4 linked regions of the Arabidopsis thaliana genome follow. The protein of the gene in region 2 interacts with the protein of the main gene of each other region in a pairwise test. Each region holds a gene or a part of one and is shown on either strand. Other genes may lie near its edges.

Region 1 (5,246 bases), on a different chromosome or scaffold from region 2:
CATTGATTTCACAAATTTCACGAAAGTCTCAATCTTTCACAAATCAAACCTGAGTTTGGAGCTCTAACGTTAGTTTCCCGGCGAGACTGAAACGCTTGGCTAAAGAGCTAACATTGCGCCTTTGTTGAAACCCGAAAAGCTTCACTGTCGAAATGCAGAATAGCATCTCCAGCCAAACTGGATGGCGCGTGAGCAACCACCGCTCGTATTATGGACTCGTGTTTCGACTGCGGCTAGAGCAGAGCGGCCAGGACCAGACGATATTCTGATGCTGATTCGGTCCGGTTTGTTTCGGTTTTAAATTTCAGATAAATCGGTTTGTTTTTAATTGATTTTGTAGATAGCCTTCCAATTTTGACTTTTTGATACCTTACAAAGTGAAATGGCTTTGAGAGTTACTTGCCTCTAGCAACAGTGTCTGTGTCTCCTCATTTTTCTTCCACAATCTCAATGCCTCTATTTGAAATGTTGCATTAATTTTCTGAGTAAAAGCGATTCATAGGTGCTTTTTGTATTTCCAATTTCCTAAAGAATGATATTTTTTTTATTGATGGCAAAAGTAATACAAATGTTAAAAAGAATACAATTCAAATACACAATCAATCTACGAATTACAAGTAATGAAAAAGAATTACAATATATGTTTTTGGTTTTAGGTATCATCAGTAGTTTCAGTTTCACCTCCTCTTGTTTTTGCTCCCAAGCAACAAACACAAGTAAAACAAAATCCTAAATAGGAATCCGAAACCTACCGTGATAAGCAAGCAGTTCCATTTACTAAGCTGTGTCACTCCTTGCTGCTTCAGAACATCAGCACCCGTCGTTAAACACGTAGAGCTCGATATCCTCATACCTATCGACCGGCTCACAGAATCCAAAAGCCTCAGCTTCATCCCATACGTCAATTCTCCCAAAGGCGAGTTGTCGAAAAGCTGAACACCTCTCACAAAACATTCTGTAGGATCCGAGAACTCGTTCTGAAGAACCGCCTCGTATGGATACTTAACCAGAGAAAGATAATGAAACCAAATCCAATACTGAGGGATTCGATCTCTGTTGATGAAGAAGCCACTGAAAAGCAAGAAGTAAGCTAAAATAGCAACAACGATCGTGTAGCCTAACATCACATGTGGAACGACGCCGGATAAGAAAGTCACGAAGGAGCTTCCGGACCAGAAAGAGGCTAAGATGATTAAGCAGTAGAATAAAAAGCCCATTAGGCCTCCTTCAAGCCCAACAGCCCAAAACGTCGTCACTGCGAAAGCTAAAGAGAGGAAGATGAGCGAAGGGAAGGTAACAATGGCGTGAGAGAGAACGTAGGAGGATCTCCGGTAAGCGTTGTAAGCTGTTTCTCTCATGAAGATGTAACGTTCCTGGAGGAACACGGGAAGAGCATCGGCGCAAGTGTAGAACATTGTTGACATTGCGAATGCGAAGAACCCTAACCGCTCTTGAACTCCTTTTGGTGAATTATCCAATCGCCAGAATACGGTGGCTAAGATGAATCCGGTGACGATTACGGTGGCTAATCGCATTCCGAGTAGCTCCGGTTGTCGTCGGGAGTTGAGGATTGAGCGTCTGGTGAGAGTTTTGATTTCGATCCAGAACGGATTCGCGAATGCAGGGACGGCTAAGGTTCCGCCACCGTGGTTTATGACGGAGGAACCACCGCCGCCACCGGAGACTAGTTTTCCTCTGCTTATGCTGGCGGAAATCGCTTCTTTCAAGGTTAAATTTGGGTTTGGAGAAGCCGGCGGAGTTAGGGTTTGAGGATTGCTCTGTTTCTTCATCTCTTGCCATTTCTTGTTGAATTCAACTAATCCTCTTGTTCCTCCAGCTGATCCTTCGAGTTCTCTGATTAGATCGAGTGCAAACTCCGTTTGATTCTCGTTTTCCGGTATCGGATTACCGAACCCGGCGAAAAAGCTCGGTAGACTCGCCGGAGAACCACTAAAGACGGTGTGTCCACGTGACAAGAAGATAAGACGATCAAGTAAACTGAGAACTCTGTGACTTGGCTGATGTATTGACATTATAATGATACTGCCACTCTCTGCGATTCTCTTCAATACTTTAACCACCATGAAAGCACTTGTGGAATCTAAACCAGAAGTAGGTTCGTCGAGGAAGAGAACAATCGGGTCGTGGATGATATCGATTCCGATCGAAACTCGCCTTCTTTCTCCACCGGAGATTCCACGGTGTCCTTCGTCTCCAATGATTGTTTTAGCAGCGTTTCTTATCCCTAACTGGTCGATTAGGGCTTGAACTCGAAGCTTCTTCTTGGATTTAGGTAAGCTTCTTGGTAATCGAAACTCAGCTGCAAACATTAAGGTTTCTTCCACAGTAAGCATCGGGAAGAGAAGATCGTCTTGCATTACATAAGCTGAGATAACTTTCAGCATCCGAGATTGAAGAGCTTCTCCGTTAAGCGTTACCGTGCCCTTCAAGCTTCCTTTAGCGATCCGATTCGCTAAAGCGTCGATCAAAGTGGATTTACCTGACCCGCTAGCTCCAAGAACGGCAAGAATCTCTCCGTCACGAGTCTCACCGGAGATATTGTCTAGAAGAGTCTTGGTCTTGGAGAAAGATGTCCTCCTCCATGGAACCAGGTCGTGAAAGTCAAGTTTCCGGCGAACAGAGACGTTGTAAGTAAGGTTGTTGAAAGATAGAACGAAAGGAACAGGACGCATAAGATGATCATTATCTCCGTCAAGTGAAGAACCATCCCTGTCAAAGAATTCATGAACAGGAGTTTCGTCACCAACTTCAACCTTACGAACGTCGCTAACGTTCTTGAGAAGTTGGCCTAAAGTCAAAGATGAGCTAATAATCTCCATGGAATGAAACGGTGTTGCATTATCATCTTCTACTAGTATGCGAGACATTTAGAACAAAAGATGGTAAAGTGAGAAATGATGTGCTTACACTTGAAAATCAAAACACTCTTTGCATGATCAAAATGTTAGTCTTTGTTCTCTGTTTTGCTAGTATCTGTGTATAGGCCTTATATATATGAAGTAACGTGTGGAAGCGTGTGAACACGAAGGTTCTATGTGTTGAATGAGTTGCATCATCATGAGAAATCTGTTAGGTTTGTGTTGTTAACAATAATATTCTTAGCGTTTGGATGGAAAATGCGTTTTGGATTTCTCGTATTCAATTAGGGAGAGGTAATGGGATGACCAATAAATCTAGATTTTCCAAGGTGATAATACTAAAATACGTAGAAATGGCTGACACGTGGCGATTAGAATGGAGAATTAGGTGAAGGGTGTTGATCTAACCGAGGTATAGATAGTATATAGGATTGAGATGAGATATTTCTTGCGTTTCACATAGTGTTTGGTCAATTAATTAATGTTTTTAAAAGATTCTTCGAATGTTGGTAGCGATATAGTGATTGTTTGTATCGCAAGCAAATGTGTACCTAGATAAACTATTCACATTTTCTTTTGTTTTCGCGACCGAAGACGATTGCTTATGCTGCTAACTGCCTAAAAGTTGCAAATTGCAATAATTCCGGAACCCCAACTAATTCTACCAAATATAATATAAAAGTTATATTTGATAAAGTAGCTAGATTTGTATTTAGTTTGGGAATATAAACTCCTGTTTTTGCTATGAAAGACTACACACAATCTCCAAGTTCATTTTTTCTATTTCTTGATTATTTAGTTGGTAACGGTGGAACATTCTTTACCAAACTCAAATATTGTGTTTGGTCTTTGTTTCCTCTGTTTTATTCACAGTATACAGAAGCTGATAAAACATTCTTTTTGTTTTGTAAAGGGTGGAGTGGTGGTTTAAGAGAAATATAATAAAAATCGTCAAGTTTGTTGCTAAAATTAAACATGCATGCGAAAATTACACGAGAATCATAAAGATGGTGTCACATTTCAAATACTATTTGTTAAGAAAGTAAAAATAGTGATGTCTTTGATCCATCCAGGGAAAGAAGAAACAGATCAAAAGGTTAGGCAACTTCCTCTTAAGTAGTACTTGGTCAAACTTCTAGTGATGGACACAATGGTAACATGAAAGCAAAATTGACGTACTGGCTTAGCTTCTTGGATTTCCAATCCTAAACTTTGACTTCACTGTTACATCTTTTTGGTTGACATTTTGAAGTTTAGGTGACTAACTTCTACCTACTGTAGTCTTCCTTACCGCCATAAGAAAAGGGTCAAAGATTTATAATACCATCTAATAAAGCTTATAAGAAAGTTGGCTACTTTGAATTCTATTTTCGACCAACTGTTTAGTTGTATATACTTTTGTTTTTAAAAAGTGATGCAATTTGAATTTTGTCAAATACGTTATGTTTACACCGACCACGAAAGATGGCATATAGCTCACACGCACATTAAAACTACTAAATTACTTCACTGGTAGCTTGTGGTATCTTTATATTAGTTTGAACTTTAAACTATTGATGTAGTTCATATTGTTAAGTTAAAAACATTACCAATTGTGAATTAAACTAAAATCTTAGTCCTTTATAAAATTGTGAACCTAACATCATGTAAAATGTTAGATGTACGATTCTTTCTTTAGACAATATATGATAGCTATGAAAGAAAAAAATAATAATTATACAACATATATCATCAATATCTCAAATTCAAAAAGACAATTTTGCTTTCACAATAAAATTTCTGTTTCGGAAAAATTTACATTATGGCGTTCACGCCCTCTTATTCTTGCTTCCAAGCAACAACGAAAAATAAAACAAGATCCTAAAGAAGAATCCCCAAGCTAACGTTACCCACAAGCAACCCCATTTATCCAGCTGCTCAATTCCATGCTGCTTAAGCAAATCAGAGCCCGTCGTCAAACACGTTGATTCCGTTAACTCCATCCCCAAGTAACCGCTCATTGTCTCCAGAAGCTTAGCCTTTGTCGTTTCAGATACTCCTTCCATTATTGTATTATCAAACACTTGGTTTCCTCTCACGAAACAACGGGAGGGATCATCGAATTCGTTGTGCAGAACAGCTTCGTAGGGATACTTTAGCAGAGAAATGTAATGAATCCATATCCAATAAAGATGGATTCGATCACGGTTGACGTAGAATCCGCTGAAGAGGAGGCAGTATGAGAGATAGCCAAAGGTGACCATGTAACTCATCATCACGTTTGGAATCACACCGGAGACAAATGTAACAAACGAGCATCCTGACCAGAAGGACGCGAAGATGATCATAAGATAGTAGATAAAACCTGCCAGACCACCGTTTAGACCA
Region 2 (6,557 bases):
AGTAAATGAGGATGAATTGAAGAGTAAATGTACAAAGGGTTTTTAAAGAAGAAGAAAATAAGACATTCAATGTTTTTATTTTATTAAATTGGGTGTCTCAACAACCCATGATATATGTTCATTTATTATTTTTGGCCACATTGTCTATGTAGAAATTGATTATAGACTTAACTTCGGTTTCTTTTGTCTCATTATTGAAGATAAGAGTTTGGTTTTGACATTGTTACACTAAGTTGAATTTTGTTTCTTTGTTTTGAAAATGCTTATATCAACTAAATAAGGAACTTGTGGACAAAGACTATGTCATCAACAACCCACGATATATGAGCATTTATTATTTATGGACACATTGTTTCTATTGGAGATATAGTTTGGTTATGATTTTAGTACATAGTTTATAGGCGAAAATAGGTTTGAATTTGTGTTCTTATTGAAATGCTTTGTTATATTAGTATGGTAATGTTGGGAAAACGTACACATCATAGGTTAAAGAACCAACAGTATTGTGTTATTAGATTGGACTATTGAGTTTGGAATATGTTGCTTCAAGTTTCTATTTGTGAGGAAAGGAACACACAAATATAAAGTGATTCAAAATAACGAAGATATATTCTACGTGAGAAGAGAGGTACTGTAAATTTAGAGTCACATTGCTGTGTATAACATATAAGAAAACTAGATGTACAAAACCTACTTACATATACGCCGAGAGGAGAACGTGGTCAAAAAGAATCGGGTAGATCTAACTGTGAATTTTATGTCTGTGGTATAAAGATTTTAGCCGATGTGGAAACCGGTGGACTTGAAAGAACTCGATAGCGTGGGAAGCCTTTGCAATGCAATAACTCCAGCAGCGAAAGCAGCAACAGACGCCAAAACAAACGCCGGTAAGTTTCCTCCTCCAAACAATTGATCCCATGGACCCGCTCCAAGTGATACTATCATCTGTTTAGAGCCAAAACCATATTCAGACACTATTTACGGGTCAAGACTACACTCGAAGTGAGTGGCATTATACAAGAGAATGAAATTTATCAGTGTAATTAGATTTGAGAGATTGCCTGGGGAATAACGATTGCGAGATTCAACACTCCTATAGCCAAACCTGGAGTGAGGAAATGAAACCATTAGGGATTACTGAAATCTAAGATTTAAGTACAAAAACTATGAATATAGTGAAGATATGAATCTTTTCACAGACCTTGACCGCCACCGGAATCAGCAGTGACTTCTGCTGTGACAGAGAAAGGGACACTGTATGTGATCTGCATTAAAGAATGGTTTTATCACATATTTTAGAGAAATGTTGCAACACGAAAAGAATAAAGAGAATTACGGTTGAAAGAAAGCACATACAGCTAGGGGAAAACCAAGGAGTGCAAAAACGATTACGGCTGCGGTTCTTGTTGTTTCGTTTCCACGCATTATGTATTCAATTCCATTTTTGTCATCACTGAGAGACATCAAGCTGATTACAGCTGTTCCCGCCATGCAGGCAAATACAGTAAAATTGCTCAAAGCCCATACAACCCGAGCACCCATCCGCTGACACATTGGTTCAATGAGAAATGAGCTGATCCCAAGAACAACCTACGGAAACAGGGAAGAAGAATATTCAATAACGGGCGAGTAATTGAATTTTGAAGAGCAGTGCAGTTAAAAAACAGGTTATTATAACGATTCTTACAGAGTTTAGTAGCAAACCAAGTGCACCTTCACGTACACCTTGATCATAGAGTTCCATATGCAAACTATCTCCTGTTGGATCCCCATGGTAAACTTCTCTTCCCATCCAATCTGTATCGAACAGAAAGAAGGGGAACCAGGATAACTGCAAAGAACAAGACCACAATCAAAAATATAACAGAAGCAAATAATTTTAAAGATCATTAAAGAGTTTAAGAAAAGAAACAGTGTGAAATATGTAATAACTGATCATAATTTTTCTTTGGCACTCACCCATGTAAGAGCCATGACGATAAGAACTGAGTGCATAGCCGGTGGCAAATGCCTTAAACTAGTTAGCAAATTCACTAAAACAGATCCAGGGCCATCAACGTAGGTCTCATCTTGATGCTCATTCTCTGAATTGCCAAACTGTTCATCCGTATCACGTTCCACTCTCTCATACTTGATTCCATTGGCAGTACCATTATTTAATTTTGAATGCTCAAGGCCTTTGGACTGGAGATCATCCAACAAAGGTGCAGAATCTTGTATGCGGGTGGGCTTGTTGCTTGTAAAAGGAATCTCTTTAGCAAAATAGATTGTGACAAGAGTACATATAGTGAGAAAGACCTGAAAAAATGATTTAAACTCTTAAAACATATAGAACAATATATTCAGATTTTAGACTATGAAACAAGAACAAAAGCCACTGGGTGCAATAATATAATTTCACTTTCAAAATCACCTCAAAAATAATATAGACATACAAACAGAACGCATTGATTTGCGACATATATGAATCACAAGTCACAATGTACAAACGTGAGAGTGTTTCGTAAAGACCAGCCCATTCCATTGCAATTTAGAAAGCTTAGTAAGATGCATGTGTCAGAAAATTAAACATACTGCTTACCACTGCAAGAAGAAACGCTGCTTTGAGATTTCCACATGCAGCACAACATGCTCTACTAGTTAAAAAAGGGAACCATCTGCGCAGTAAAATTGCCTGATCATTTAACAGCTGGCGGAAAATGCAAAATTGCAAATGAGGAAAAAGAATACAAGATTTTGAGAATAAGGATCTCAAAGATTACTCTTGCCATTTTCCGCTAGCACCGGCAGAAAACCCAAGGATGTTCCCAATAGCCATCCACAAGCAGAACACAGCATTTGCAGTATTCCGCTGATCAGGACCTAGGGACAGCAAGAGACATCTCATTAGAAGCACAGCATATTCAATCTGATTCTAGAGTTTGAATAGAAATTCTGTTCTGTTAAGTGTATGGTTATATTCCATTATTACCTGATAGATCAGCTAGAAGAGCACGAGCAGGTCCCTGAAAATAAAAAAGCCGAAAACATCATTCCTGGATACAGAGGTAATGACTAGTACCATTCACTCAAGTACATTGCAGAGGCAGATCTGAACCTGTACTGTATTGTTTGCTAGATCCAACAACCAAAACCCAATGATAAAGACAACAGCTGCCCTGGTTCGTGTGCCTTTGAAAGTACTGCATTTCAAGATACACATCAAGTCGTCAGTTACTTTAATTTTGATACATTCCATAAAAAACATGCCATTGGCAGGGGAGCAGGAGAGTTACCTGCAATGTTCCTTTGAATCTCCTAACAGATACCCAATGTCTGCAGAAAATCCGATTATTATCACCTAAATTGCAAGCTTTTGTTTAGCTTATATAAAACACAATGTAGCCAGCTATCTCCTAAAAGAAAATCAAAACAGAAATCATATCTTCTATTGGCACTTACTGCTATTGAGATCATGAATGATCCAACTAGAATAAATGGTCGTCTTCTTCCATACTTTGAAGTACATTTATCACTCCAAATGCCAACAAAAGGCTGGACCTAAAACCCAACAAACAAATAAGTATGAACAAAATGGGGCAGAAAAATAGTTTCTGATCCAATATAAATCAAAACTTGAACTCTCGTGAGATCATTACGTGCAAGATAGTAAAACTGCTAAAATTCTTAAAGAAACTTTTAACCTACCACAAGGCCTGTAATTGGGCCGCACAGCCAAATAAACGAAGAAAAAGCATGCGATATTCCAAGGGTCTGCATCAACCAACCAAATGCAACACTGTTAGATAAAACTCAAAAGGGTTCTTCAGCAACAAGAAAATCAAAATACTTCCAGCAAACAGATATTTAACAATAGTTCTATCTACCACCATAACTACCCACCTGATACATATATGACCAGTACAATACTATTCTAAACACAGTCTAATCTCTGATTATACAATAGTTCCGAAAAAGGCTAAGGTCTTTTATATTTTTACAAATGCTTATGTAATCCAATGAACATAAACAATCTAGCTAAATTCCAATGTCATATACTCTTCGATAAGCCAATGCTATAGAGTTCCATACGAAAATATCTCATGGCTATGTTGGTGACAACAACTACCTAACCTAAGTATTAGAATTCATTGATTCACCTACAAAGTACTCGACTTTCTCGTACAAAGCTACACAAGAACAAAACCCTCGAATCTAAATTGCTATAGAGAAAGCCACAAGTGATAGAAATGGTAACAATGACAAGAGTAATAGTAAGTACCTGAATATAAGGAGTAAGAAGAGAAAGTTGCAATGCCCAACCAAATTGAACTCCAGCGGCAACTGTACAACTAAGAACCAACGTCACTAAACTACAATTCTTCGACACAGATTCACCATCAGCCGAATCAGAATGATTCGAAGGAGAAGCAGATTCAGAGAACGACGAAGAACCAGATTCGTTTTGACGATGCTTGGTGACCGTCTCAAGTTCAATTTCCTTCCTCAAATTCCTATACGGAACCGAGATCGACACCGAGTCACTCATCGTCCTCAACACACAGATCCCTAATTCGTATCAAAATCAATTTCTCATTCCGATTTAGATTTCTAGGGTTTTGATCTCGTCGATCTAGATTCGGAGACGATGATCGGAGAGTCAAATTCGGGCGGGTGAATATTTTGATGAAATCGATTTTTTTGAGGTGATTGAGAGAGAAGACGCGGAAGTGAAGAAGGAAGGAAGATTCGTTTTACAGGGAACCGTTGATTTGTAGATTAACGGATGAGATTAAAACCTAACTTAATAGTCAACGTTTTCGTCTCGGGCTTTGTGTAATCAGCACCGTTGGATTTGATCGGATCAAAACCGTTGCTTCAATTTAAAGGAAGAGCGGACGAAACTCACCGTCACCGACACCAAACAAAAAGTGTGTGCTTTTAAAAAAGTAAAACGGTGTCGTTTGATAAGAGTTGAGAGTGGGCCTGTAGTTTTTTGTAGCTCGGCCCATTTTTGTAAGAAATTCACAACTGTGGTACATTTAGCCCAAATATTAAGTCTATTAGAAGAAAGCTGTCTCATTTTTTGTTAGCATACACACCTAAAACCTATAAAACATGTGTCAAGATTATATGATTCATAGCTATGTCCCTTCTTCTATTTTCTGATGCCTTACACTGCGAACACTGTGATTAGTGATTACATTGGTTCAAGTTTGACTTCATGAAATATGTTTGGTTCAAGTTTGCTTCTAATGCTACCATTCAAATCCAAACTCTCACAATTGCATATTATTAAAGAAAAAAGGATAAGACGTCTCAAAGAAATTTTTTTATATAAAATCATATAGGGTATGTTCTTATTAACGTATATATGAACATGTGTTACTAATTTAAAAACAAAATCATTTTGTAAATTTGTGTTTTACAACAAATATTTTGTGGGAGATTTTAGGTGCTAGCAATAATAAGTAATGTTAATTAAGAGAGTTATAAACATTTTTTCACTATTTAATAGTGTTTTTTTCTTCTTACCAATGTCACTATTTACAAGTATATGTATTTTCTAATAACTAATGTAAACATGTTTGTAAAAAGATTATATAACATATATGTGTGTGATTGTGAAGGTGATAGAGTTCTTCTTACCAATGTCACTATTACAAGTATATGTATTTTCTAATAACTAATGTAAACATGTTTGTAAAAAGATGATATAACATATATGTGTGTTAACGTGATAGAGCCGGATTAAACGAATAAAAGGAAGAAAGTTAGAAATAAAAAGGAGGAAAAAGGAAAAAGACGTGTGCCTAACAAATGTATCATGTATTGGTACAAAAATGCAAAGATGATACATAATTATTAATATTATTCTTGCTTGTGGAAAATGAAAGCTAATAGGGCACACAATTGAATTAATACTTACGTCTCTCTTTCTCCATCTCTTCCCTTGTCCCTCTCTTCTCCTTTCCTTATCCACGTGTACATGACTCTTATGTCCCATCTTTTTTTTCTTTTTCTTATCATCAAAAGTTCAAAAACAAATCCTTTTGAGTTTAGTTGTTATGGTGTGCATGCATGTATGATGTATCCGAACCAAAGTATAGTCGAAAATCCAAATTTTGTATTCTTTAATGGTTAATGGTTAATTGAGAAGTTATAGCCGAGTCTCATACACTTGTTGTCCATCAAAACTGATACCATTCTCAATAGTATTTGAACCAGAAAACCACTATTACTCACTTTTGTAAAAGAACTATACATACGCGCCGTTAGACCAAATATCACTTATTACAAAACAAATTTTTTATCTATACCATGTTATAATTTTACATAAGAAAAAATAAAATAAAAAATCGGATTATTCCATTCAAAAAAGCATTTACATAAAATTCAAGCCTATATAGGCAATTTGGTAGCATTGACTCGGTTTCTCCACAAAAAAATGAACCTTATTACACCTTTGGTTTTATCTTATTTGAGATTGATGATTTGATCATGTGCCAATTTTTATTTTTATTTTGTTATAAAAAAGATCAAGGTTAATAAGTTGATTGAAAAACAGTAATAAGTTT
Region 3 (6,086 bases), on a different chromosome or scaffold from region 2:
GAAAGCAAATAAGCACACTTGCTGGAAACTTATCCCCAAGTTACTCAGTGGGTGAGGTTTTCTTTACAATGGGTATCATTGGACTAGGGCTTTTGCTTTTTGCGCGGCTTATCGGTAACATGCACAACTTCCTTCAATCACTTGATCGAAGGTAAATCACATTTCATCAACAATGTTCTGAAAAGGGATGGTGAATTTCTTGGCTAATGCATGTTCTGTTTTAGGAGGATGGAAATGATGCTGAGAAAGCGTGATGTGGAGCAGTGGATGAGCCATAGACGTTTGCCAGAAGATATAAGAAAGTCTGTGCACTGTGGCATTTGATTTTCTCAGGCTGTGTAATGTGATATTCATAACTAATCAACTGTTCAACTTTTTCAGGAGGGTGAGAGAGGTTGAGCGGTACACTTGGGCTGCGACAAGAGGAGTTAACGAAGAATTGCTATTTGAGAACATGCCTGATGACCTTCAAAGAGATATAAGAAGACACCTCTTCAAATTTCTCAAGAAGGTAATAAGCAACAGCCTCATGACAGCATTAGTCAGTATTCATTTTGTGTACTCAGACTCCACAGTGTTGCAAAAAGCTAGTTCTGAATCCAAGTGTTAATGAGTTTGCAGGTGAGAATATTTTCGTTGATGGATGAATCAGTTTTAGATTCAATCAGAGAGAGGCTGAAACAGAGGACTTACATAAGGAGTAGCACGGTGTTGCATCACAGAGGTCTAGTAGAGAAAATGGTATTCATAGTGAGAGGTGAGATGGAGAGCATTGGAGAAGACGGTTCTGTTCTTCCTTTATCAGAAGGAGACGTTTGTGGTGAAGAACTTCTCACTTGGTGCCTCTCTTCTATAAACCCCGGTACTAATAACATTTGAGTGTTCATAACTCTTAATGTTTTTTGGTTAGAAACTTGGAACTTTGGAGCTGAATACGTTTTGAAACTTGCAGATGGGACGAGGATAAAGATGCCACCAAAGGGATTGGTTAGCAACAGAAATGTTAGGTGTGTGACAAACGTGGAGGCGTTTTCGCTGAGTGTAGCAGATCTTGAAGATGTAACAAGCTTGTTTTCAAGATTCTTAAGAAGCCATCGAGTGCAAGGAGCTATAAGGTACGAGTCTCCTTATTGGAGGTTACGAGCAGCTATGCAGATCCAAGTGGCTTGGAGATACCGAAAGAGACAACTCCAGAGATTAAACACTGCTCACTCCAATTCCAACCGTTAAATTTGATGATGATGTTTGGTTTGGTAGATTAGTAATTTTATTTTGAAGTATAAAGCTTAGTGATTCACTATAAAAGATGAATCGATGATTCATTCGTTGTAATCAATTCACTCATTAGTGTTTCTTAAGTATCTTTTTGCTGTTTTTCCAATCATACGGTATAATTTTACTTCAGGTCACTCGGCTTGAGTAACTTGGGCTCATAATTTCGGCCCATTCTAATTGATCTTAAATTAATAATTAATCAAGCCTGGATAATGAATGATTTTTGCCTTTTCGGTACTTCTTTACTGTAAGAAGTTAATTAAGACAAAGAAACGGAAACAGCCATGTAGTTAATGACATTTTGCCTCCAATAATTAGGGCCAATTAATTAGTTACAGTTGGTAATCAAATAAAGGAATTTTCGAATTCGTGAATATTCAAAAGGAAATAAATGTTAAAAACACAGAGGAGAGAGAAGCCTCACGGACACGAAATAATAAACAATGTAATAAAAGTCAGTGTTTGACTTTTCCAGACATGAGTTTTATTTACAATAATACACTTCCTTGACCTGGGCTACGAAGAAGAAGACCCCTGACTTGGTCATCATCTCCTTTCTTATTTCTTCTTCTTCTTATCAAAATTACTAAAACTCTCTGCTTCAACTTCCTTCTCCGCCTCAAATTTTCCCTTTATGCCTAGATTCTAGCCTTCTAGGGTCTTCTTGAAACCGTGATTTTGGTCAAGAAATGGCTTCCCACAACGAAAACGATGATATTCCCATGCTTCCGATTTCAGACCCATCATCTCGTACTAGAGCCAGAGCTTTCACTTCCAGGAGTCGTAGCGTTTCTCTCTCAAACCCTACTTCCTCCATTGAAGGATTTGACACTTCCACTGTGGTTTTAGGCTACACGGGTCCTCTTCGAACTCAGAGACGTCCTCCTTTAGTTCAAATGAGTGGTCCTCTTACCTCTACTCGCAAGCATGAACCTCTCTTTCTTCCTCATCCTTCTTCTGATTCCGTTGGTGTCTCTTCTCAGCCTGAGAGGTATCCTTCTTTTGCTGCTCTTGAACATAAAAACTCCTCAGAGGATGAGTTCGTTTTGAAACACGCAAATCTCTTGAGGTCTGGACAATTGGGAATGTGTAATGATCCTTACTGTACTACTTGCCCTTCTTACTACAACCGTAAGGCTGCTCAAATCCCTACTTCTAGAGTTTCTGCCCTTTTTGATTCCACGGTAAAGTTTTGATTTTTGTTACTTTACATTCACAAATATAGCTTCAGGATCAAGTAAATGTCGTTGAAACAGAGTCTTTTGTTTTCTTGCTAGTTCCATAACGCTCTGTATGATGATGCTAAAGGTTGGGCAAGGAGATTTGCTTCCTCTGTTAATAGATACTTACCTGGAATCATGAATCCTCATGCCAAAGAGGTTCAAACCTGGACTAAATTCTTCGCCCTTTCATGCTTGTTAGCTATTTTTATAGATCCCCTCTTCTTCTTCCTCATAAAAGTCCAAGAGGTATGTTTTTCCTTCAGAGATATCTTTTGCTTTTCCAAGTGTTTTTATCTTGCCTTTACACCACCTTTTTGACCATCTTTATTTTCTCACTGTAGCAAAACAAATGTATTATGATTGATTGGCCGATGACTAAAGCATTTGTAGCTGTAAGAAGTGTAACAGATGTTATATTCACTATGAACATTCTACTTCAGGTGCTTTTCTTTTGCTTACATTTTTCCATCTCTTTATAAACAAAATATGTTGGCTTTAGTGCTCACGTTTGCCATATTGGTTGCAGTTCCGATTGGCCTATGTAGCTCGTGAGTCTACGGTAGTTGGAGCTGGCCAGTTAGTTAGTCATCCCAAAAAAATTGCCCTTCATTACCTCAAAGGAAAGTTTTTCCTTGACTTGTTCATAGTGATGCCACTTCCACAGGTATTGTTACGTTAGAGCTCCTACTGGTTTTAAGTAATGGTAATCAGAAGATGTTCATTTATGTTTTCTTTTGTTTACAGATATTGATACTATGGATAATACCAGCACATTTGGGTGCATCCGGGGCAAACTATGCGAAAAACCTTCTACGAGCTGCAGTTCTTTTCCAATACATTCCAAAGTTATATAGACTTCTACCGTTTCTTGCTGGACAAACACCTACCGGATTCATATTTGAGTCAGCTTGGGCTAATTTTGTTATTAATCTTCTCACTTTCATGCTTGCTGGACATGTTGTTGGTTCTTGCTGGTATCTATTTGGTCTGCAGGTATGACAAACTCTCAAAATGTCTTTCATTTTTATCTTGTCCTGATCAGCAGAAGATGCATAAAGTGATTTATATTGTTTCCCGTTTTCTGTTGGTTCTTTCAGAGAGTTAATCAGTGCCTTCGAAATGCTTGCGGTAATTTTGGGCGTGAATGTCAAGATCTTATAGATTGTGGTAATGGAAATAGCAGTGTATTAGTACGAGCTACCTGGAAAGATAATGCGAGTGCCAATGCTTGTTTCCAAGAAGATGGTTTTCCTTATGGAATCTATTTAAAAGCAGTCAATCTTACCAATCATTCTAATCTCTTCACAAGATACAGTTACTCTCTCTTCTGGGGCTTCCAGGTAACTGTTTTTTTTTTTCTCTCTTTCAGTTTTTTAGTAGGAAACTAAGAACAACTACTCAACTACTTTGCATTGATTGGCATACTTGGAACTCTTCATTAAGATCATTAATTTTATAATTCTCATAGCAAATCAGCACTCTTGCTGGCAACCAAGTCCCAAGCTACTTTCTAGGGGAGGTCTTCTTTACTATGGGTATCATTGGACTAGGGCTTTTACTTTTTGCGCTTCTTATTGGTAATATGCAAAATTTCCTTCAAGCTCTTGGTAAAAGGTAAACAATTCCATCATTGTACTAAAATAGATATTTCAAGACATAATGGTTGGTTCTATAAACACTAACTACTCAGGTGATTGTGTTTTGTCCATATTAGGAATTTGGAAATGACGCTGAGACGGCGTGATGTGGAGCAATGGATGAGCCATAGACGGTTGCCAGATGGTATAAGAAGGTATGTGGACTTTGCCTATAAAACTTTGTTTTATCCTTTGAATATTCTTTTTCTTAAAGAGTTACATTGGTCTCAGTTTCAGTAGTTTCACTATTAAACTAACTGAATAATGGTTCGACATTATCAGGAGGGTGCGAGAGGCTGAGCGGTTTAACTGGGCTGCTACTAGAGGCGTTAACGAAGAATTGCTTTTTGAGAATATGCCTGATGATCTTCAAAGAGATATAAGACGACACCTCTTCAAATTTCTCAAGAAGGTAAACATATGTGAAACTTCTGTATGCATAGATCCCAATTCCATATAGTGTTGCAAAGAGCTAGTTCTAGAAGCTGTAACTGCAAGTAATAGTTAGAGACCACAGATTAAACCATTGCTGAGAAATAGTATTGAAATTTGAATGGGTTTGCAGGTGAGAATATTTTCGTTGATGGATGAACCAATCTTAGATGCAATCCGTGAGAGGCTGAAACAGAGGACATACATAGGGAGTAGCACAGTGTTGCACCGTGGAGGACTAGTTGAGAAAATGGTATTCATAGTGAGAGGTGAGATGGAGAGCATTGGAGAAGATGGTTCTGTTCTTCCATTATATGAAGGCGATGTTTGTGGTGAAGAACTCCTCACTTGGTGCCTCGAACGCTCTTCTGTAAACCCCGGTACCATCCCTTTTGACTCTATCTCTATGTGTTCATAAATCCCAAAAAGTTTGGTTCCTTAGATGACACTTCGTTAAGAAAAAGCTTGGAACTGAGTATGTTCTGAAACCTTCAGATGGGACGAGGATAAGGATGCCATCAAAGGGATTGCTTAGTAGCAGAAATGTAAGGTGTGTGACAAATGTGGAGGCGTTTTCGCTGAGTGTAGCCGATCTGGAAGACGTAACGAGCTTGTTTTCGAGATTCTTGAGGAGTCATAGAGTCCAAGGAGCCATAAGGTACGACTCTCCATATTGGAGGCTACGAGCGGCTAGGCAGATTCAAGTGGCGTGGAGATACCGTAGGAGACGGCTTCATAGATTATGCACTCCTCAGTCTAGTTATAGCCTTTAGTTTGTATTCTTCATTCTTGATGATACGCTTAAAACAAAAATAGGGTTCCAAAGCTCAAGACTGCTCATAGGCTCATAGCAATGCTCAAAAGTCAAAACCTCACATTCTCCAACACGAGGCAACAACAAAATTTAGATCGAAGTTAAAATCCAAGTATTCGGTGTGCTCGGTAAATTTTAATGATAAATGAAAAAAACATAACAATATATTATATTATAATTCATTATAAACAAAATTATAAGATAATCTATATTATTAATTAGGAAGCATTGTATGAACTACAACATTGTAAGGGTAGTTTAAAACTAACTAAATGAATTTTTGCATGGGTAATTTAGTAAATTAACAACTACTACAACTAAACAAATATCTTGGATTTTGTTTTTAAAAAAAACGAATTAAATCACTAAATTAATAACTACCCAATATTTTCGGAAATCATTTAAAAACGTTTTCATAACATATTAGGTTATTTTAATTCAAATTGTATATATGTAAACTTATTTCTTTTGGTAATATGTTATTAGATAATTTGGAAACTTCAATCTAATTTAATAACAAATTATCATTTACTTTAGATTTTATACAATTTCCTTAACAAAACTATGTTAATTGTTTCTGATTATTACAAATAAAAATAATTTTAAATTATGATTTAGCATATTCAAAAGAGAATTTTTGGATTTTAGATTTGTAATTATCTAAAAAATAGTTTCAGTATACATTAAAATATTTAACATTTTAAT
Region 4 (5,727 bases), on a different chromosome or scaffold from region 2:
TTTTGCTCTTTTGTGATTGATTTCCACTTTTGTTTTGTGGTTGGTCTGGAACAATAACAGGTAAAGAATCCATCGGCGAAAGTAGAGCACGAAGCGAGTACCTCTAAGATTGGAGAAGATCAGCTATTCTATTTCCAGCAGAGAGGAATCGATCACGAGAGAGCATTAGCGGCAATGATCTCTGGTTTCTGCAGAGATGTTTTCAACAAGTTACCTGATGAGTTTGGAGCTGAAGTTAACCAGCTTATGAGCATCAAGCTTGAAGGATCAGTGGGTTAAAACAAAACTCATAATTACAGAACAGCAAAAAAAAAGGGGTGGTCTTTGTGCTTCTTCTCAATAAAGCTTTTCTTCTGAGTAAAACTTTGTATTATTTTGTAATGTTTTGGTAGTTTCATGTGAATCTTGTGAAAGGTGTTTGTTAATATTTGTGAATCACGTAAAAACTATATTGCAATAAACTTTTTTTGTTTACATACTTCTATCTTATACAGTTGTGGGAGAAGTTTAGAAAATTGTAGAATCTTGAGGAGGAGAATCAGTGAAAAGAGATTGAATCTCTTCTAGAGATTTGCCTTTGGTCTCTGGAACAAGCTTGGCTATGAACACAAATCCAAGGCCAGCCACTGTGGCAAACATCAGAAATGTTCCTGCAACAAAGACTTTTAGTTAACAACTCTCTTTTCAAAATTCAGAAATTGTAACCAAATCAACTTTTTGTCAACTTTAGTTCAATTGTATTAAAGATTTTTACCTGTGGAGCTCCATTGAAGCAAGTAACTGAAGGAATAAGCAACAAGCCATGCGCTTATAGAGCTGACCAAGTTACACATTGTTCCCGCTGCTCCCTTAACATCTACTGGATAAATCTTGAAAAGAAAATAAAAACATTAAGAGGGATGTATTCAATCTAGTATTTTAAGTTATTTGTGTAAAATTTACAAATCCGATGTTATTCAATCACGGATTTTAAAAACTCTAATGAAATTCAGTGTTATTGAACTAATGATTTAAAAATCTAGATGTATGCGATACATAATTGTTATAATGAGTGTAACATAATTTAAATGTCTGCGATATATTTTTAAACTTTTTTTAAATATTTATTTACCTCTGATGCTATGATCCATGGTATTGATCCCATACCAGAACCGTATGATCCAAAATACACCTAATAAAATAAATAATCAAAAATCAAAATACAGTTGTTACGGGAAAATTATGAAAATTCAACACTAAATTAGAAAATTAAAATCAGAAAATTATTTTAGATTTTCAAATTTAAATAGTCTAAAACTTTATATCTAAAAAACATTTTAAATTCTAAATCCTAAAACCCTTATTAATTACCATAACACTAAAGAGAGCCAAGACAGGAGTTCCTGTTTCCCAGCAATGATTCTCCTGTAGAACGAAATAACCGGTAATTTTAAGGTCCGGTATAACAAACCAAAATTAATTTCCGGTTTAGTAGAGTAGATGGAATAGTAACCATGCCTTCAAGAAGAATGAAATGGCTGTGGTAAGACAACCCAAGAACATTCCAGCTTGAGAAACCTACAATGATCACTCAAAATATATTCCTAAACTTTGTTCGAAAACCTAACAAAATTAACATATCGATTTCGGATACGAGTTTTAAATTTTGTTTTACCAATAGGAGTGTACGTCTTCCAGATACATCAACAAGCACAGTACCTAAAATGCCTCCAAACATCTACAAAAATGATTGGTCAAAAAGTGTATAGAATATTATACGGAAAGAGTTTTGTCTAACCATGCTCTATGGTATTGTATTAGTATAACTATAACCTGAACAACTGATGTAGATATGAATCCAAAGTCACTCGATACACCTGGATCATCGGATAGTATTTAAGGACCATTTGATGAAGTAATCATATCATTATGTTAGATCAAATAAAGAGAAACAAGAAGAAGAAGGATTATATACCGGTAGAGATGAAAATGGAGTCAGTGTAAAAAGAATAACCGTTAAGACCTCCAAGCTGAGGCAAAGCTATAAGAACAACTCCAATCTGTATATAAACCAAATGAAATATATAAATCAAGCAAATGCAAACAAAATAATGCTAGATTTTGAAGTTTTTTTAACCTTTTTGAATAGTTACTTACAGTAAGTGAGAATGCATATTTTCGCTGAAATAGCTTGAAGAAACCGCGGTCATCGATGTCTTGTTGTTGTTTAACATGTTCTGTATATTCCTGATAATCATCAAATTGTTTAGAAATTTATGTTATAAAAAAAATCAAAAAGGATGAACGACCTGTCTCCCCTAATAAGTTTTATATAACACCATAACTATACAGAATTCGGATCGCAATCCTAGTCCACAAAAAATAGAAGTTAAAGTCCAGTTTCACCCTCAATTGGAGGTTCGAATCTTTGGTCCCCATAAATTCAAATTTCATGGTTTATATTTGGTTTATTATACTGGACTCGATGCCAAACCGAAACCCAGTAGATTAGAAGGTCCTTACTAATATCTCTGCTGCTTCATCTGATACATCAGATTTTTCTCCTCGCAGGCTTAACAAAACTGCTTCAACTTCCATTTCTCTTCCTACTTTAGCCTACCAACAAATTTCATCTTGGTTTATTTGATTTACGATTTTAAGATATTCGACCAAAAGTTTTTTGTTATAACCAAATGCTTACTAGCCATCTAGGAGATTCGGGGATGAAGAAAAGAAGAGGCAGAACCATTAGAGAAGGTATACATCCTGTTCAAAGAAAAACCATTAGTACATTTTCTTGTACTTCGAGAAATGAGAAGTTTTCGATTTTTGCAAATCGATAAGAATCGGTCTTTTTTAACATACCCAAAATGGCTAAATTGCGCCAGGCAACGATGGTTCCAAGTGCATAAAAGACCGATATACCAACACCGGCGAATAACTGTAAAACATTCAAAACTTGTAGTGAAGGAAAATGCTTATAATAGTTTCCAAGCTTTTGGTTCTCTTGAGTTTTACCTGCGCGAAGGAAGAAGCAGCTCCTCGCAAGTTTCTTGGTGCTATCTCGGTGATGTAAACTGGTCCCTGTAATTAATAATTATCAGATCATAAGATTTGTTACAAAAGAGAACTAAATATATCTGAACATAAAACTTACAAGTTACAAGATATCAAATAAGTTTCAATGCTACATAACTACATTACCAACTAGCTACCTCTAAATCAAAAAGTCACACCATAAATAAGAAAAAATACCAAACCCTTCTAGTTTTAGTATTCACTCATACCAAATATACGCTAATTCCGATCGAGATCCCTTGTAGTAACCTTCCGAGATCAAGCAGCCAAACACCCTTTGTAACCAAAAAGTCAAAGAACAAAAATAGTAATAAGATACAGTTGAGGAACTATAATAATATATCGACTTAAAAACAGTACAATCTAAACCATTATAGAAAGAACTCAGAAAGAAACAAACCTTGGCAAATGCAATAGCGAACCATCCGATTACAAAGAGGATGTTTGTGATCCATATAGTCTTAGTTAGAAAGAGAATAATCACATAAAGATGATTAATAACCATAATTGTATAATCATATCCAATTCGTTATAAGAAAGTTTTAAACACTAATCATTCTTAAGTAGAAGAAACTTACTTTGACACGACCAACTAAATCTGTTAACTTCCCACAGATTAATGCTCCAAGGATTAACCCCACCGTCAATATCGATCCAAATAGTGAATACTGAGCAAAGAAAAGAAAACCAAGATCATATCGAACCAGAAATAAACCGGAATAAACCGTAAGAGCAACAAAAAAATAAAAAAGTGATTGAACTTGCATCAGCTATGGAGAGATTCAAGTCTTTCATGATACTTGTTTGTGTCGGAGCCGAATATCCAATCTGTGAACATAAAGAATCAAATAGTAACATTTTAATTAGGTTTAATAAAAAATTAAACATGCAAGAACGCATTAGGAAACTCACAATGCATCCAAAGGCAAAGGCGCCGCAAGAACCGACAATGAAAGCAAGAACAAAAGGTCTCGTGCATGCATTTGATATTTCAGACAAAAGTGAAGAAGAAGAAGAAGTAGAAGAAGCTGGTAATAATAAACCTTCTTCTGCCATTTTTCAGAAATCTGTGATTATGAATCAAATTTGCTTCAGGAAAATGCTCAAACCTTTTCGAGTTTGGAAGATTGTTGGTCTCGTGGAGCAAAAACTGCAAAAATAGCGGAACTGAAAACTAAACACAAATTGTGTTTGCTTTTGTTTCTTTCTCGTGGACATATAATATTAGTTCTAAGAAAACATATAAAAAATTAACATAGGTAATTAAATTATAACTATAATTATATTTTATTTTAATTGTTTTTATTAAAAACCATATTTTATCTATTGTTTTGGATTCACTTAGATCGTGCAAGTTTGTTACCAACTTCTGAAAATCGAATCATCTATATTTTTATTTGTTGGTCTGGATTTTCACTCATTTAAAACATGTGAAATCTTAAAGAATTAAACTTGAGTTCACCCATTTATTCAGCTCCTTTTGTATTAACCAATAAAAACATGCAATGTTAAATCTTATTTAAATTACATAATAAATTAAACCTATAATTATAAATCCAAGCTAATATATAATTTCGTTTAATTACAAAATCTAAACCCTAATTCTCCTTTGTAAACCTAAATCGCCATTTAAAAACTTATTTAATCGTAAAAAACTAAATCCTAATCGTATTTTCTAAACCCAAACTGACATTTAACCTCGTTTAATTATAAAATCTAAATCTGTTTATAAATTTAAACTAATATTTAACCCGTTTAATCATCAAATCTAAACTCTAATCGCACTTTCCAAACTCAAACCGATATTTAACCTCGTTTAATCATAAAATTTAAACCTTGACTTTTTCTAATAAATCCAAACCGATACATAATTTCATTTTAGTGGCAACTTAGATTTTATAATTAAATAAAATTCTTTTTATTATTATTAGGTTTCAGATTTTAATTGGCTAAAATAAAGGAGGTGAATATAAGGTTCTCAAATATTTTTCAATCTTAAATGCAAGTAAATGCGCTTACGTAAAAGCTGTAGACATGTGTAAACAAGCATTTCACGTCATAAGATCTCATTTTCCATCAATTCTATTTGTTTTTTTTTTATAATTAGAGTATCTCCAACTCATCTCTATTTTTATTTTTATATTTTAATTTTGTTTTTATTTCACTGTAATTCATATTTATTTTTATCTCAAAAATAGATATCTCTACTTTTTCTAAAAAAAATTTTGTAACAAATAGAGATCTCTATTTTTCAAAAACTATTAGTGTAAAAATAATTTTTTTTTAACTTTTTTCTCTATATTTAAATGAAAAAATAGAGACAATCATTAGAGATGCTATTAAGATTTTGTAATTTTATGGTTATCAGGTTGTATATTGTTGTTGCGTCGAAAACATATAAACATGATATATATCATAATATATGCCTTAACCAAGCTTTTCAGTTGAACTGTAGATCCCTTTCAGGGACCAATTTAATAAATATTTATAGGCCAATGACCCAATCGTAAAAATACGATGGAAAAAAGAAAGACAAACCCCATGAAATATAAAGAGATCTGAAATTAAAGTTTGAAGGTAATTTTATTTTATCTCTTAGAAAATTGTAGAATCTTCAGAAGTAGAATCAGTAAAAGCAGATTGAATTTCTTCTAAAGATTTGCCTTTGGT

The links.
Region 1: the proteins of SUT2 (region 2) and ABCG16 interact in a protein complementation assay, tested with the Arabidopsis thaliana proteins (one large-scale study listed by BioGRID).
Region 3: the proteins of SUT2 (region 2) and CNBT1 interact in a protein complementation assay, tested with the Arabidopsis thaliana proteins (one large-scale study listed by BioGRID).
Region 4: the proteins of SUT2 (region 2) and AT4G04760 interact in a protein complementation assay, tested with the Arabidopsis thaliana proteins (one large-scale study listed by BioGRID).

What each region holds. Positions count from the first base shown.
Region 1 is NC_003074.8:20,415,665-20,420,910, forward strand, and holds ABCG16 (ABC-2 type transporter family protein), read right to left. Parts: upstream 3,247-5,246; 5' UTR 2,889-3,246; coding exon 678-2,888; 3' UTR 519-677; downstream 1-518. Other genes in the region: AT3G55080 (SET domain-containing protein), read right to left, coding at 50-166; ABCG17 (ABC-2 type transporter family protein), read right to left, coding at 4,688-5,246.
Region 2 is NC_003071.7:827,769-834,325, forward strand, and holds SUT2 (sucrose transporter 2), read right to left. Parts: upstream 4,852-6,557; 5' UTR 4,529-4,851; coding exon 4,262-4,528; intron 3,754-4,261; coding exon 3,688-3,753; intron 3,541-3,687; coding exon 3,442-3,540; intron 3,341-3,441; coding exon 3,276-3,340; intron 3,183-3,275; coding exon 3,098-3,182; intron 3,006-3,097; coding exon 2,972-3,005; intron 2,863-2,971; coding exon 2,763-2,862; intron 2,658-2,762; coding exon 2,582-2,657; intron 2,299-2,581; coding exon 1,960-2,298; intron 1,832-1,959; coding exon 1,688-1,831; intron 1,591-1,687; coding exon 1,357-1,590; intron 1,266-1,356; coding exon 1,202-1,265; intron 1,106-1,201; coding exon 1,062-1,105; intron 946-1,061; coding exon 778-945; 3' UTR 511-777; downstream 1-510. UniProt on the Arabidopsis thaliana protein: Responsible for the transport of sucrose into the cell, with the concomitant uptake of protons (symport system). Can also transport maltose at a lesser rate. May also transport biotin.
Region 3 is NC_003074.8:6,047,110-6,053,195, forward strand, and holds CNBT1 (cyclic nucleotide-binding transporter 1), read left to right. Parts: upstream 1-1,704; 5' UTR 1,705-1,964; coding exon 1,965-2,459; intron 2,460-2,552; coding exon 2,553-2,744; intron 2,745-2,839; coding exon 2,840-2,938; intron 2,939-3,024; coding exon 3,025-3,162; intron 3,163-3,242; coding exon 3,243-3,491; intron 3,492-3,595; coding exon 3,596-3,838; intron 3,839-3,966; coding exon 3,967-4,112; intron 4,113-4,212; coding exon 4,213-4,290; intron 4,291-4,417; coding exon 4,418-4,547; intron 4,548-4,700; coding exon 4,701-4,947; coding exon of another isoform or gene 4,948-4,985; exon of another isoform or gene 4,986-5,062; coding exon 5,063-5,340; 3' UTR 5,341-5,566; downstream 5,567-6,086. Other genes in the region: CNGC19 (cyclic nucleotide gated channel 19), read left to right, coding at 6-151, 225-302, 382-511, 622-862, 953-1,230. UniProt on the Arabidopsis thaliana protein: Probable cyclic nucleotide-gated ion channel.
Region 4 is NC_003075.7:2,422,550-2,428,276, reverse strand, and holds AT4G04760 (Major facilitator superfamily protein), read right to left. Parts: upstream 4,114-5,727; coding exon 3,970-4,113; intron 3,886-3,969; coding exon 3,823-3,885; intron 3,726-3,822; coding exon 3,636-3,725; intron 3,518-3,635; coding exon 3,458-3,517; intron 3,333-3,457; coding exon 3,267-3,332; intron 3,064-3,266; coding exon 2,998-3,063; intron 2,921-2,997; coding exon 2,845-2,920; intron 2,746-2,844; coding exon 2,681-2,745; intron 2,596-2,680; coding exon 2,503-2,595; intron 2,227-2,502; coding exon 2,137-2,226; intron 2,040-2,136; coding exon 1,955-2,039; intron 1,857-1,954; coding exon 1,813-1,856; intron 1,718-1,812; coding exon 1,655-1,717; intron 1,558-1,654; coding exon 1,498-1,557; coding exon of another isoform or gene 1,493-1,497; intron 1,405-1,492; coding exon 1,351-1,404; intron 1,172-1,350; coding exon 1,112-1,171; intron 870-1,111; coding exon 755-869; intron 651-754; coding exon 508-650; downstream 1-507. Other genes in the region: ABCI8 (ATP binding cassette protein 1), read left to right, coding at 61-279; AT4G04750 (Major facilitator superfamily protein), read right to left, coding at 5,653-5,727. UniProt on the Arabidopsis thaliana protein: Sugar transporter.